Drosophila melanogaster: one gene and its partners. The protein of the gene in region 3 interacts with the protein of the main gene of each other region in a pairwise test. Each region holds a gene or a part of one and is shown on either strand. Other genes may lie near its edges.

Region 1 (5,173 bases), about 15 Mb from region 3:
AAAGCAAAGAGCGAGCGGCGACGCGCTTTTGTGGGAAATCAGATAGATGAATGCCGGGACACATCGGCGCTCTATTACATTCTGGCGTTCCAGCGCGGCTACCTGCTCAACTGGCACACACAGAAAACGGTGTGGGATTACATATTCAGCAAGGACGGCATTGGTTGTTCGCTGGAGAACCGCAATATTGTCATCACTGAGCCGCAGATGAACTTCCAGAGCATCCAGGAGGCAACGCTGGAGATTCTGTTTGAGGAGTACAAGGTTGATGGGGTGTACAAGACCACTGCTGCCGATCTGGCTGCCTTTAACTATGTGGCTGACAGCGAGGAGCGGACTACAATGGAATCGCTTAACTGCATCATCATCGATGTAGGCTACAGTTTCACCCACGTTGTTCCTTTTGTGCTGGGACGGCGCGTTCTCCAAGGCATACGACGCATCGACATGGGCGGGAAGGCGCTGACCAACCAGCTAAAGGAGCTAATCTCTTATCGCCACCTAAACGTCATGGACGAGAGTCATGTAGTTAACCAGATCAAGGAAGATGTCTGCTTTGTGGCGGAGGACTTCAAGCAGGCGATGCAGGTGCATTATTCGGAGGAGAAGCGACGCGAAGTCACAGTTGATTATGTCCTTCCAGACTTCACCACCGTCAAACGGGGCTATGTTCGTGTTCCCGGAAAGCCGCGCGAGGATGAGGAGCAACAGCAAATGGTGTCGCTGTGCAATGAACGTTTCACCGTGCCCGAGCTGCTCTTCAATCCCTCGGACATTGGTGTGCAACAGGTGGGCATTCCGGAAGCGGTGGCCGATTGTCTGAAGGCTTGCCCCTGGGAAGCGCACCGCGAACTCCTGCTCAACATCCTTATTGTGGGCGGCAGTGCCCAGTTTCCGGGATTTCTGCCGCGCCTAAAGCGCGATTTACGTGCCCTGGTGCCCGACGATCTTGAAGTGTCACTCATCTGTCCCGAGGATCCGGTGCGGTACGCGTGGTACGGCGGCAAGGAGGTTGCGACCAGCCCCAACTTTGAAGAGTTTGTTTACACGCAAGACGACTACGAGGAGTACGGTTTCCAGGGTATCAATCAGCGGTAACATGCACGTAGTCGAAGTATTTTTTCAATAATAAACTTGATTTGCACATGGGTTTTCTAGAACATTCCTTGTCTATATATTGAACTAGGGCTAAAGAGGACAAACTGCCAGCCTGCGGCAAGGAAGCGGGTGCGTCACTTACCTAGCGCTACAACTAAAATTTAACTATAGAACACAACTTAATATTTAGAATTCGTTTGCGAAGTAAAATTTACAAAGGATGCGGTGCTTTTGCCAACAACGTAATGAGATACAAGGTCGGGCCGCGTACTGCATTTAACTTAGTTAATTTAGGTCTGTCTGCGAGGCGGGTGCCGGCGGATCTCCTCCGGATCTCCATCGGTTTACATGCTGAACGATTCGCCGCAGCCGCATGTGCCCTTAATGTTCGGATTGTTAAACACGAACTCGCTGGACAGCTTCGATTCCACAAAGTCCATCTCGGTACCTGCAAGCGAATTATACTCTGTATTAGCTGGCTTGTCCAATGCTATGCTAAGCTGGTATGAACTTACCCAGCAGCGACAACTGCGCTTTCTTGTCGATGAAGACCTTGACGCCATCCTGGACCACCTCCTCATCCAACTTGTCTGCTGGCAAAAATCGACACAGAACGCAGCATTAGATCTCCACCGAACAACATTCTGTCCAGAGTGGCTTACCTTTTTGGCTGGCATAGTCCAGCGTGTAGGACAGACCATTGCATCCTCGCTGCCGTACGCCCACCTTTAGGCCAACCTGTGGCAGAAACAACATCGAATTTCTGTCATTAACTGTGTGGCTAATTTATAGGCAGCCTTGTTTATTGACCAAAGACAAAGAACTCGGTATTCTAATAAGTCTGTCTCAATTCAAAGAATTTAATCACTTAAAAACTAAATGATTAACAACAAGATAAACATGCTCATCAAAATTTGGTCGGGTCAAAATTTGGAAAATCTAGCTGATTAACGCAGGCCGAATTAGTTAGCATGGCTTATATTTATAGCTAATAATTTGCGCTAAAATATATGACTGACTGAGGAAAAAGCCTATTGTCAAATATAATGCTTGAAGAAGCCCTCTTGCGAACTTCCTATACTCCATGCAACCAGTGCTAAAACTTAAATAACATGCACGGGAACCTTTAAAGAGCTAGGCGAGATTATCAAGATCTCAATCGTGGAAGGCGATAGAATGCCCACTAAAGTGTAGCCTTGGTTCGATGACAACTTGTCAGCAGTCACTCACCATGTCCGGCTTGTCCTGCAGAAGCGTCTTGATGCGTAGCACCGCCGCGGGTGTCTGAAAAGGATTGGGGGAGATCAGAATCATCAGATCGAAGGGGACTGTTACTTCATCAGCAGCAGCATGCGCCGATTTCACCAGGTTTTGGTTTCCTTACCAGAGTCAGAGCGGCCCGCGTCGGGATTAACTTCCGGCCTTTCACCGCCCGCACTGTCGCCGTTGCCACCACACGTGTCGCCATCGGTTCGTGCCCTTTATATAATTTGTTTGACTCGAGAATTTCCACAAAAAAAATTCGAAAATATGAGTGCTTACTACCAGATGGTCGATAGTACTGTCGATAGTATCACGTGAGATGGCATTAACAGATGTCATCGATTGGCAGTGTCACGGGATAGCGGAGAAACGGTTACTACCTGTTTGAAAAATAAGTTATTTTTAAGCCCCAGAGTCCAGGTGGACTTCATTAATAACTTAACTTAATATTTCACAGTAGAATTTATATTAACAATTGGTTTTAATGTCTGTGAGTTACAGCAAATTTTATCAGCACCAGTGACAGCTATAGTAACTTTTTAAAATCGTGACTCGCGACTAGTTTTGAAATGAAAGGAGGTGCCATCTCTAAGTTTAAATGAATTTCACACTTTTCGATTGAGTTAAATAATATCAACAAAATCGAGGATATGTCCGCCCTAAAAAAATTTTATAAAATCAGCGCAGGTGTGAGAAGAGGCGCACTACTTACCAGTTCCCGAAGAACACAAATTGATGCTTTAAATAGTCCACAATTGCAGTTGCAAGTGCATCACTTTGCAACCAAAACACAAACAGCTGTTTTTAGCAGCAGCAACAACTACACGTGCATTTGCCGCAGTATACACTGCAGTAAGCCAGTGGTATGTTTGGAAATCAGTTGTAAATACAAATAAACTACCCAATTGATATTAAATAATGTTATTTACATTTGTAATTTAAAATATTATAAATGGAATGCAATATTTAAAATTATGTATAACAAAAAAGTTAAGTATAATTATTTTGCTCTGCTCCCAGGACGATGCGGACAAGACGGTGGCCACGAATAGCATTCCTCTGGCGAAACTGGAGGCCAAGATGCAGCTGATCTACACCTGCAAGGTGTGCCAGACCCGGAACATGAAGACCATTTCGAAGCTGGCATACCAACGCGGCGTTGTTATCGTGACCTGCGAGGGCTGCTCCAATCACCACCTGATCGCCGACAATCTGAACTGGTTCACAGATCTGGACGGCAAGCGCAACATCGAGGAGATCCTGGCCGAGAAGGGCGAGAAGGTGGTTCGCCTGACCGATGGCAACTGCGAGTTTTTGCCGAAACATGATTAAACTCGTAGTGTAGTTAAGTGAAAACGAATGCCACTTTATTTAGCAGCTCCAGCAAATGTGTCCAGGAATTGGGGGGTAGTTGGGCACGCAGCTGCTGGGCGAACTGCCGGCGACATATGGATCCGGTGGCCAGCATCAGGTAGGTTATGTATGTGGCCTCGTTCACGGGCAGCTGCGAGACAGCCGTGACTGGTGCATCAGCGGTCAATTGCATCTCATCCAAGTCTAGGTAGGGCAGGTGGCGATTCCAATGGTCGATTAGGTAGGCAATAAGGCTGCCGGCCAGACGTACATGCTCCATACTGGCCCAGAATCTCATCTCATTGGCGGATTGCGATACGAACAGAAAGATATTGTGCAGGAAGCCGGTGCAAGCGGTAGATCCGCCCTCCGATAAAGTGTCACAGATCATGTGGCGCATTAGGTAGCAATCCTTGTGAATTTCGCTGTCCTTTGGCTCCCTAAAAAGCTGCAGCCACACCTGGTACTCAATCAGCTCCATGGAGCGCTTTATTGCGGTCTGCATGTCCTCAAGGCTGGATAAGCGGCCAATCCGCTTGACTAGCCGTCGCATCTGCTGAAGATCGGGATTGATAAAATCGCTGGAAGAAAGCGCATCCGATTGGCGTATTGCCGACCAGTCCAAATCACCGATCTCACTCCACGCAGGCTGAATCTCGGCCAACGTTCGATGCGAAAGATGAAGCAGTGGTGCATGAGTTTCTCCCTTTCGTGTGTTCACGATGGTGGTACACAGCTCACGAATACACTTCCGTCGATCCACCAATGCAGAGCAGCTAGCGAAGAAGCCACGGCAATCGCAGCGTTCGGCCAGCGATTGCCCGAAGCGATCATAGCACTCGAACAGGTACAGGTGAGCCTTTAGCAGGGATTCCACAACGGATTGGCTCAGTCGCAGATGGCGGTGCTCGGAGTGCATCTCCTCCTGACAATCGTGCAGCCATGTGAGTAGCTTGAGACAGTGCGGCGCCACATCTTCAAGCACGCTGCTCGTGGATAGGCTCAGTTCTTTTCGGATAAACAAATCCATACGGACTGCAGCTGTCAGCTGTCCGAAAATTCGATGTCACAATCGATAATGTCGATCGGTTTGCTGTGCATGAGATATCGATCTGTCGTTGCCCGTTGCGATAGAATCGAATTTCAAATTGAAAGGCGCCCAAATTAAATGAGATCGACATTAAGACCTTATATATGTATTTATTTATATATATGGCGTACCCATCCTTTCCAGCCGCATTTATAATGAGCATGTGAAGTGATTTCTGAAAATTTATTGTGATAAATGAGCTTATTCTTTATTCCACATTCTTTAAGTTACATCTGCGTCTCATTATTTCAAAGGTAAACATAAAATGCATTAACATAAGGACTTATCTCTTACATCAAAATACTTTAATCCATTTAAATATTTTTTCTGTTGCTTCCCTTTATCTTCGGTACGTACATTCACTTAAGT
Region 2 (4,530 bases), about 19 Mb from region 3:
AACTTTTTTGTTTCGCCTAGATAAATATACTAATATTATATAATATATATATATATATATACCAGTGTTGGAACAAGTACATTTTGTGTTACCTTAGAAAGGTGGCATGTTATGGACTATGATAAATAAATAAGGTTAGATTACAATCCCAGTGGCTATTCGGACCGATAATTGGTATCAAAGATAATTACCTTTAATCAATTTAGAATGAGAGTTGATCTGTACTGTGCTGTAGTCTTCCACGTTTTAGACTCTAAAAGGTAATAATTTTAATATATACAAAACGATGTATTTAAAATCAATTAAATAATGAAAGTGTGGATATATGTATAGTATAAACTATTTTTATGAAATATGCATATAAGATCATTTGGATGTTTGGTTCAGACTGGTTACGTGTAACGAAAAGAATTGATGGAAGGCAAGGGAACCTGTACTGGCGGATGCACGCTTCAGAATCCGGCTCTAGCTCTTTGGCGTTGTGGGGTGGTGGTCTATGCTTGCGACAAAAGAATATAGGAGTTAGTATACAAAATCGGAGGAAGCAAATTAATATATTCGAACGAAGATAGTTCAAGAAGAGAATGAAAGCATGAAACAATAGGTGTACCTATGACCTAGCTTTCCTTGAGAGCAATGGCTCTAGTGGCCCCTTATGTGCCCTATGTCCGGAGAAACATCAGCCGAGTTCAGTATTTTAATTTTTACATATTCATTTCTATCATTTGCTGACTAATGATTAATAACAATATTTATAGGAACCAATAATAAGTACATAACAAATTGAAATAAATTTAATTTGCTCAGAGTAAGGTGATAGATAATGACTTATGTAAGTTAAGAAAAAAAACTATAATTAAATAGACGTTAAGATGACTAAATATAATCTAAAAAAAAAAGAATAAATTATTTATTTAAGTTTTTCCATATTTCAGTTTTTTTTTTCAGTGTTGTTGTTCTTCACGATATTCTTGTTTTATAAATTATTACTTTTTTTTCAAATCAGTTTCTTTAATCAGTAAAAATTAAATGTAAGTGAGTGGGTTGCGGGTAAGGTCGGTTAGATTTTAATTAATATTTAATAGCTTATAGTCTAGCAATATAATTAGGGTTCAAGCAATTGTTCTCAGTGTATTCATTTGTCGCGTTAATCTGTATAGAATTTGTTCAACTTTGGGAAAAACAAGAGAGAATGCTATAGTCGAGTTCCCCGACTATCAGATACCCGTTACTCAGAAAAATCGATAGATATAAAAAAAAATTATAAAAATTTTAAAAAATTATTCCAAAGTGTGGGCGTGACCGGTTGGGCGGTTTTAGGGCGTTCGAGTGGGTGTGGCAAAATTTTTGTTTTTATCAATAGAAATTTACGAGACTAATAAAAATTTGAAATAATATCAACACGTTTTTCGAAAGTGTGGGCGTGGCAGTTTTGTGCGGTTTGTGGGCGTGGCAAATTAAATAAAAATTAAAAATACAAAAGTAATATAAAATAAGTCTCCTCCTTGGGTTCACATTTAAAGGAATTATTGCGAATAATTCAAATATTTGCGGATATAATTATTCAGAAAATTTCTCTCAGTGTACATTCGCAGTTTGATATCTTTCACGCAAGTATAGGTTTAGGTCCGATAGAATTTATCAATATGTTTACTTCAGCAGAAACTTCTCCCTCTGTATTCATGTCTTCTAACCCTAAAATTATTCTTGTCCACATGCTCACTTTTTTTAATTAATATATCTTTTAAGCATTTAAATTAAATACAAATCTTAGGGTTTTGGTTTATGTGCGGCTGCTGTCAATCGATGGGAAGGGGTGATCCCCGGGACGGCTCGAAAAGGGTGCTCCACAAGACGGCATGACTCGAGTTCATTTTTTTGCTGACCGCCTAATAGGTTAGAGCCTTTGCGTCAACTGGCACACAAAAAAAAAAACTTAAATCGCGTTCCGTTTGGCGGCTAGGAAAACTCACTCGAATAATGGTATTTTCGCACTTTGTTTTTGCTATCCAAAACGGACACTTTTTTGGCCGAATTGCATCCTCATCCTCGTATTAAGTACGTAATTAAGTACTAAAGCTAGCAAATCGAAATTCTTCTTTGTATCTTGGATTTAATATTAATATATTATTTTGGAACTCGGTTCAAAATACAGTTTTACGGTAACTGAAAATTTTGATTCTGTTAAGTGTATATATTTTATGGAAAGCAAGTTACACATAATTGGAGTGTTTCATAAAACAATAATAATACAGTAAAAGGGAATGTTAGAATCGCTAATGAGTATGTAACAGGTAGAAAGTGCCTTCTGTCCGTCTGTTTTTCAAATGAAAAAATATATATTTAATTTAAAGTTTTTTTGAAAAATTAGAGCAAGTAATGTAAGCCCACGTGCTATTTTCCAGTTCCCTCTGTTAAAAATATTTTTTACGGGGTTCTTTCCGGAACTATTATTTTGAAATTTTTTGATTGAGCACTTACCCAACATTCATATAGGTTTTAAAATTCATATTACACTTTTTTTTATTACACTTTTAAGGTCTGATATGATAAATAAAACACGATTCGCGATTCTCAATAAAAAAGCTAAAGCGAATCTACAGTTCTTAATGTTAAGACTTCCAATTTCTAGTGTGTACACACTTGACGACAGTGATTCCGCAGTGATCACATCTGGTCACTCTGTTCTCTATTCTTTTTTCTTTGAACTTTCGAATCGTCCAGTTGGCACGTGCTCTATCAATCATCCCATCTTGTTCTTCTGAATCTCTTTGAACGTAGTTTGGCAAATAGAAAGGCAAGGCAAACCGAAAATGGATGCTCCCACCATCAAGCTTGAGTCCTCGGATGGGATGATCTTTTCAACGGAAGTCCGAGCCGCCAAGCTCTCCGAAACCATCAAGACCATGTTGGAGGTCTCTGCCGTGGAGAACGACGAGAATGCCATTGTGCCGCTGCCCAAGGTGAACGCGTTCATCCTATCCAAGATTCTGACCTGGATCTATCACCACAAGGACGATGATGCCCATGGAGCGGAGGGCGTGGAGTTGAGCCCGCAAAGCCCACATGACATCTCAGCCTGGGACGCCAACTTTATTAACGTCGATCAACCCACCTTGTTCGAAATCATACTGGCCGCCAACTATCTGGAGATCAAGGGCCTAGTGGATCTCTGTTGCAAGACGGTGGCCAATATGATTAGGGGAAAGACTCCCGAGGAGATCCGCCACACGTTCAACATCCCGGACGAAATACCGAGCAGGACGGCCCAGTTGGGCGAAGACCTGTGAGGCACAGTCTCTTTCGGAGCAAATCCGGTTGGGACACCTGGAACCTTCCTTTGTTGAGAACTTATTTGTTTCACCAGAATAAATATGATATTACGAGTATTTTTGAAAGCATATCTATTGTATTTTATCAACATATTCAGTTTACAGTTTACTTTGGCAACAAGAACACATAAAACATAACTTTTTAAATCGTTTCATGTTCGCTTGGGCTAAAGGAGTGCTCTGGCTCTATTCCCAGTTGATTGCCACCAAGCCGCCCGGGGATACAAGCACACACCACACACCACACCACACACCGACCCACTCCACTCCATAGCACCCCAATCCCGGAATCCTGGTGCTCCTTAAGCCGGTTCCTGATTTGGCAGCCACGCTAATTTCCAAAAGCCTTGGCCGTTGGCGCTTATGAGCTCTGCATCCATGAAGTTCGCATTACGTATGTAAAATAGTGCAGAAAACCCCCAAATGAACCCAAGCCCAGGGTCCCAATCCTCGTATTCCAAACCCTTGGACACAACTTACGCACTTTACATACCGTTGCGGGGTGGGGAGGCGGGTGGTGGGTGGCAGGAGGCTGGGCAATGTCCTTTATTGTAAGTTAAGTTGCTGCCCACACATCTGTGTGTGAATGTGGGAGGGGGCGGCCTACGGCTTGCCACTCGCCTTTCTTCGTCCGTTTCATGTGTGCTTGAAATTTAAAATGCTCTGTGGAAATTGGTTTAGTCATGTATGTATGTATGTATGTATGTATGTGCCCAGTGTGCGTTTGTTTGTGTGTGTGCTTAGGGGGTGAAAGCATACACATACAAGAATGTCAGGTGGGCGTATGTGTGTGCGTGTATATGTGGCCATTGGTTTTCCTGCATAAACATAACAAAAATATAGCCAAATGTGCCACACTCGACTTAAGATTCTCAATTGTAAAGTACGCAATGTATGTACATATGTATACATATATTTATGGAAATATAAAAATATTAATATCAAAATTTATTTACCTTGTGCTCTGTAATTTGTTGAAAATTGAATAAATTTCAGAATGGTATGCTATATAGCTGCTCAATAAGAATAATAATGCAGTGGATATAATTATATGTTTGTTCTAAACGATATAAATATGTACGTTGTATCATTATTATGAATATTATCATCATTATCAACTTTACAAGAAATGCACGTATATTACACTTCAGTGAGAAGACACTATCCAAAATGTGTGCCAAGTGCTGTCAGTTTTGCC
Region 3 (5,541 bases):
AAACTCAAAACTCTAAACCGAATCTCGATTATCGGAACCAAATGGGCGGCATTTGTTGGGCAGCTAGAGATGCAGATGAGCGAAGGATGGAAAGATGAATAGATAGATGGGGAGCACAAAGGCGGATTGGATCCGTTTAGATCTGCGGCAATTAATTGAAAAGGAAAGTAAATAGCTGCAAGCTCGGCAACTCAAATTGAAATCATTTCAAACTCAATCAGCGGCAACAAAGCGAGCACCGCCCAGCAACAACAAAGGCTAATTTACGCGTTTTAAAGTGTTATAACAACGTCGGACAAGTGAAGCGCGCACCCCTTCGAAACAGCTATGTAAGTCATCTACATACATCTCGAGGAAAATACGACCATTAATCGAGTTCGAGCCGCGGACTCAAACGCGAAGTCAGACCATCGATAACCGCTCATTTCCGCAGCCAAAACTTTGTGGCAAGTGGCCATCCGAACCATCCAAATCCAAATCCCATTACAAGGGATTCGCCGCCACGGGGCGTCCTCCACATTATCGAGAGCATATCATCTCGTCATCGTCGATGCATCGACGACATGTGGAATGGTCGGTGATTGAAAGTGAATTGTGGCACTCAGTGCGCAGTGGAATGCCTCTCAAATTGCGTTTAGTACCCTAACTGAAAGGGTCGTGTGAAGAGTGTAAGGCGTTCTATGAATAGTGAATAGAATTCCTCACGATCTAATAAAGTCGATCTATTATATTGATTCAAATGGTTTGCAGGGTGCAAATTCTTCTGAATATTTTATTTACAATATTCTCAAGCTAATTTCTATATAATTTGTTATCGTACAAGCGTTACATAGAAATCTCGCAAACCAGAAGTGTATGCCTTTGTCGATGTTTCACCGGGGTCAGGCCTTTAGTCATTTGCTCCACTTAATGCGGCAAGTGAAAGATGCTTTGGGCTGAGCGCCCCTTTACTTACTCCGCGACTCGGAATAGAGGCAATGATGGCCCTATTTCGATTTGAGCCAGTAAATTCCAAATAAATTTGTCAAATTGTGACAATTAGGAGTAGACAGACCAAATGGCTGGCAGCACTGACGCAACTCCAAGGTTTTGTGGCGCAGCACACACTCTCCAACTGAACCATACTTAACCGTCTCTGTTCCGGTCGGGCGCGAAATAGTGTGTTTTGGTCACTTTCACGCAAATGAAAGAGAAACAAAAACAATGGCCTGCATTCTGCACAAGACCAAGACGACCTTCGGCTGGGGGTTCCAGCCTAAAAGGTGTGTTTGTTTGCTCACTGTCCCCTATTTGGCGCTGTGCAAATAAACAGTCTAGATACGATAACGTCTGGATTTCATTTGTGTTTATTTGGGTTTCGTTAGGTTGGTTTGTTGGGTCTTCTTAGCACGGCGGTGTTTGGGTTGGTGTGAAAACGAAACGAAAGGTGGAAGGCCGCTGAAGAACGACACCAGTGACTCAGATAAAAGGGAGTTATGTAAATTGAATGGGAAGCAAACTGTTTTGCCATATGTGCTATATACTGTCCATTATACTGCTGCTTTTTCCATTATATTAATCGCGGCTCTTGAATTATGGGAAAACCAATTTCTAAAATCACAAGATGGTCGGGTAGGTTGTACTCGTATCGTATTGTGTAACATTTCAAGGTGGAAAGGCTTAGATTGAATTGAGTGGGATATAGACTTGCATAAAATAATCACAGGCTCACTTTACATATATACATATAAGGCTTTATTCCGGAAGAGAAAAAGAGGCTCGAACGTTGCGAGACTTTGGCGGTAGCTGACATCCTATGACCTGGTCCGCAGATACACATGTGGACTATTGACGGAGGCGTCATGGCCTCCGGTCAGTCCCAACGAGGCGGCTGGCAAGTACTCGTTGAGATTAAGCGAGAACGAGGGCGGGAAGTGTTTGTCCTTGGCCTCGCGATTGATCCGATAGGTATTGCGGAAGGCGGCGGCTGGATTGATGGACCCACTGGCGTAACCCTGCAGAGCTGCGTAGTTGGGCGGCAGAGCACTCAAAACAGTGGCCGTTCGTCCTCCGAAGTCTGGCTGTGCGCCGGCGGAGATTGCAGGTTGAGATCCGCTGGCTGCTGCGGCAGCCGAGAGGTACGGCGAAATGGGCACTATGATCGGGCGGGTGGGTATCAGCTGAAGGTACTGAACCGAGTTTCCGGATCCATCCTGGATTGCCTGGGCCGGAAGATACTGCATGAGCATGGGAGTAGACGGTAAACTGGACACACTTGGTGTTCCCGCCGTTTGCATGGGCGTGAAGTTGGTCTCCATCTCGGGCATCTTGTACGAGGGCTTGAATGCCGGATCCGTTTGTGATGGAATCTGGCCCTGAAGCTGATTTTGGACTTGAGCCTGGTTCTGGGCCATGTCATAGCCACTGGCATAGGCACTCAGCGAGTTCAGGTGGGCCTCCTGTTGCTGTTGCTGCTGCTGTTGCACCTGTGGCAGGCCATTCGGGGACTTGGAACCCTTACTAGCTATCTCCGGACTCGAAACGGGGGAACCCTGAAGTAGGGGCATCACCAGGAGCTGCAGCAGGAACAGCTGGCAATGGATGTGAATGTGTCGGTGGCACAGCATCTACACGTAGCGAATAAGAGAAAAGTTAAGGGATCGTGTTCATGAAAAATATTTGCGATAATATATTTTACTTGTTAACCCAAAGGATATTATAAAATAACATTTTGCTGCTTATACCCGAAGCTGATTTTCAGGACGCGAAGTGCATCCGAAATGGAAAAATTGTATCGTAAGCTGCACTTGTAACTGAACTATATCTGCTATAGCAGCTTAGTTAATTCTGCAACACGAAGGTCAGATATTTTGGAACACCTTTCGATTTTATTATAAGCACAGAAAAAAAAAGTATGCGTATTTCACCTCGCTGAATTTTCTCTGCGATTTGAGTTTGAATGCTGCCTGGGAGCGTGGAAAACACTTGCACTTTTCCTGGCGAGCGACGCGCTTTGATTAACACGGCTGCATTGCCAGCCAGGCTTTTATATCGCTCGACGACCCGACCAATTTCCCGCAATTGGCAACAGGCTGCGGCTGCAGTTTTAACCAGTGCGAAACACGACAGCGCGCCAGCAAGCAACAGCATTTGGCTGGCACTGCCTTGGAAGCATTTCAGCGGCATTGTTGCGTGTGCCAGGCTCTTGCATGTCGCTAGTTGCAAGTTGCAAGTTGCTAGTTGCCAGTTGCTATTTGCTAGTTGCCAGTTGCTGTTTGCCGTCGTGGTGTCCATCGCTTTTGGCTACGCTTCAAGTTCAAGTTTACAGCCATCGATCGCGCATCAGAGTAATGGTTTCGTTTTCGCTTTCGATCGACTTGCTTTGCTTTACTTTGAGCCGCTGGGTTCCGTCTTCCGAATCCGAAACCGAAACCGAATCGGTTGTTTGGGGGCGTGTCGCTTTTGGATCTCGGATCGGTCCTCTTCCGCATTGCATATGGGTACGGCTACGGCTAACGAGTTTACAAGTCTTTTTCGGGGGGATGACAGCCCCCAGTGGTTGGCAGTTTGGCCGGTAGTTGTCCGCTTCAAATTGGCTTCATGGATTCGGTCAGAAAGTGGTCTTGCGATTTAATATATGTTCGATTTTTGAGTTTATTTTTTTCTTAAAGAAGCTAAAAGAAACTACGCTTTGAATCGAAATTTACTATTATGGTTATTCATAATTCAATTTATGATGCAGCCCGTTGTGTCCCACTGTGCCTATTAAAACGCTTTTAGTATAATTTGAACCATAAATTTAGCTATTGACTGAGGTAGTGTGATATGGCTGTGGAAGTGGAATGGTCACCCCTCCGTCTCAATTGGCAAAGCTCTGTGCGCTTCCCTGGGATTGGGTCTGCATTGGAGTGCCGGGCTCGAGACTTCCGAAGATCAGCGCGGAGCAGCGGCGATGAAGGGTGCGACGCCAGTCGAGCATCCCGCAGCGGAGCTTCTGGGGCAACGCGGTGGCCCATAGGGAAAGCCACAGAAGACATGCGCCGATCAGGCCGGTAGTCAGGCCCAAAGTCCAGTACTCGCAGACCAGGAAGGTTTGCTCCTCGACGGCCAAGGCCTGGAGTATGCCCACAATGGCGCACTGGCAGAGGGACTCTATGCGATGCCACAGTTTGCTAAGGGTCAGATCCAGCACCAAACAGCAGACGCCTGTCTCCAGTAAGAGCGATGCCCAGGACGACTCATTGCCGCGAAGGTTTCGATTCCCATTCCTGAACCGCTGATCGGCGGGCAGGGCACTTGAAAACATCCTCACCCCGTGAAGAAGGGTCACCACGCAGGCGGAAAAGAGCCAGGCGCCCAAGAGAGGAGCAGCGGAGCCGGGAGATTCGCGAAAGTAGTAGTAGTACGAGATGCCCAGTACCGAGTGAAGCAACACCGCCATGATCAAGGCCATTAGTCGAGCCATCTCCAGATGTCCTCCTAGGTGTACACTTCCAGTTTTACGGGAGTAAATTCGGGTCAGAAAGCCTTAAACTGAATTATTCAACTGACTTTTAAAGCAGCAGTCACTACTTGGTTAACTCCGAACACTTGTGTACAAGTATTCCTTGTTATTTTAAGAAGTGATACAAAAAGCAAGTTGTAAACTCTGTTAAAGTTTTTAAAGGCAATATTTAATATATTCGATGTTATCTTTTCAATTTATAATTTATATATTATGATTTATACAGCATTCTTGCGTGGCAGAATACCCCATCGGTAATGGCATAGGTTTCCTCTTTGTGTAATCACAGTCACTGTCTGCGTCACAGTTGAAGTCACAGACACCGCGCCAATTGCAATTATCACCACAAGTCAAACAGGCTCAGATGTCAAGGCCTTGTTTTCCTCATTTTCAGTGGGCTCATTACGTGAGGCAAGTGGAAATGGGAAATGTGCTCGATAGTAGTCAGCTTACTTTCATTTTTGTTTCGGCCAAAGCTTTGCGGCTCCAACTTTTGGACTTTAAAGCTTGAGCATGATCATGGAGAAACTCATAGATAAGCTCTTCCAGATCTTTATATGTACAATAATATATATGTACGTCTGGTAAACCAAGATGATTTATAAAATGATTAGGCTGGTTGGCATGGAATAAAATTTCTTGCATGCACTTGCTCCGCACTGTTCTCTGCCGACATGACGTCCCAATCCTGGTGATGCTGCTCCGCTTGCTCTGTCAGCAAGTCATAAATCTTCGGCTTCAACTGAACTTGATACATCAAAATGTTGGTCAAATTAAATTTCTTGCGCCTCGTCCTTTCCCGCACAGCTCGCCCCCGCCCCGCCCGCTGCTCCTTGATTCTCCCAGGGATTTCACTAGGAGCAGCTGCCAAGTAATTCGTCAAGCTGCTTTGTCCTCCTCCAGCGGCTGTTCTTATCTCATCTCTGGGTGAGCATTGTTGCTCCGCTCCTCTGTGCTGTGCTGTGCTGTTCTGTACTGTTCATCTGTCTGACTCCACCACCTACCAATCTACCTACCGACCTACCACCCCCATCCCTGTATCCCTGTATCGCCCCGTT

Evidence for each region. Proteins that work in one complex are often made in the same cells at the same time.
Region 1: the proteins of CG14627 (region 3) and MagR interact in a two-hybrid assay, tested with the Drosophila melanogaster proteins (one large-scale study listed by BioGRID).
Region 2: the proteins of CG14627 (region 3) and SkpC interact in a two-hybrid assay, tested with the Drosophila melanogaster proteins (one large-scale study listed by BioGRID).

What each region holds. Positions count from the first base shown.
Region 1 is NC_004354.4:15,731,762-15,736,934, reverse strand, and holds MagR (magnetic receptor), read right to left. Parts: upstream 2,666-5,173; 5' UTR 2,567-2,665; coding exon 2,483-2,566; intron 2,383-2,482; coding exon 2,329-2,382; intron 1,837-2,328; coding exon 1,761-1,836; intron 1,692-1,760; coding exon 1,614-1,691; intron 1,547-1,613; coding exon 1,443-1,546; 3' UTR 1,155-1,442; downstream 1-1,154. Other genes in the region: Arp6 (Actin-related protein 6), read left to right, coding at 1-1,098; CG12379 (uncharacterized protein), read left to right, coding at 3,012-3,224, 3,382-3,693; CG8191 (uncharacterized protein), read right to left, coding at 3,707-4,744. UniProt on the Drosophila melanogaster protein: Involved in the assembly of mitochondrial iron-sulfur proteins. Probably involved in the binding of an intermediate of Fe/S cluster assembly. Required for maintenance of circadian rhythms under constant darkness.
Region 2 is NC_004354.4:19,813,325-19,817,854, forward strand, and holds SkpC (SKP1-related C), read left to right. Parts: upstream 1-2,747; 5' UTR 2,748-2,813; coding exon 2,814-3,290; 3' UTR 3,291-3,376; downstream 3,377-4,530.
Region 3 is NC_004354.4:1,179,167-1,184,707, reverse strand, and holds CG14627 (uncharacterized protein), read right to left. Parts: upstream 3,089-5,541; 5' UTR 2,907-3,088; intron 2,841-2,906; exon of another isoform or gene 2,678-2,840; intron 2,607-2,677; coding exon 1,794-2,606; 3' UTR 1,359-1,793; downstream 1-1,358. Other genes in the region: CG11379 (uncharacterized protein), read right to left, coding at 3,839-4,444.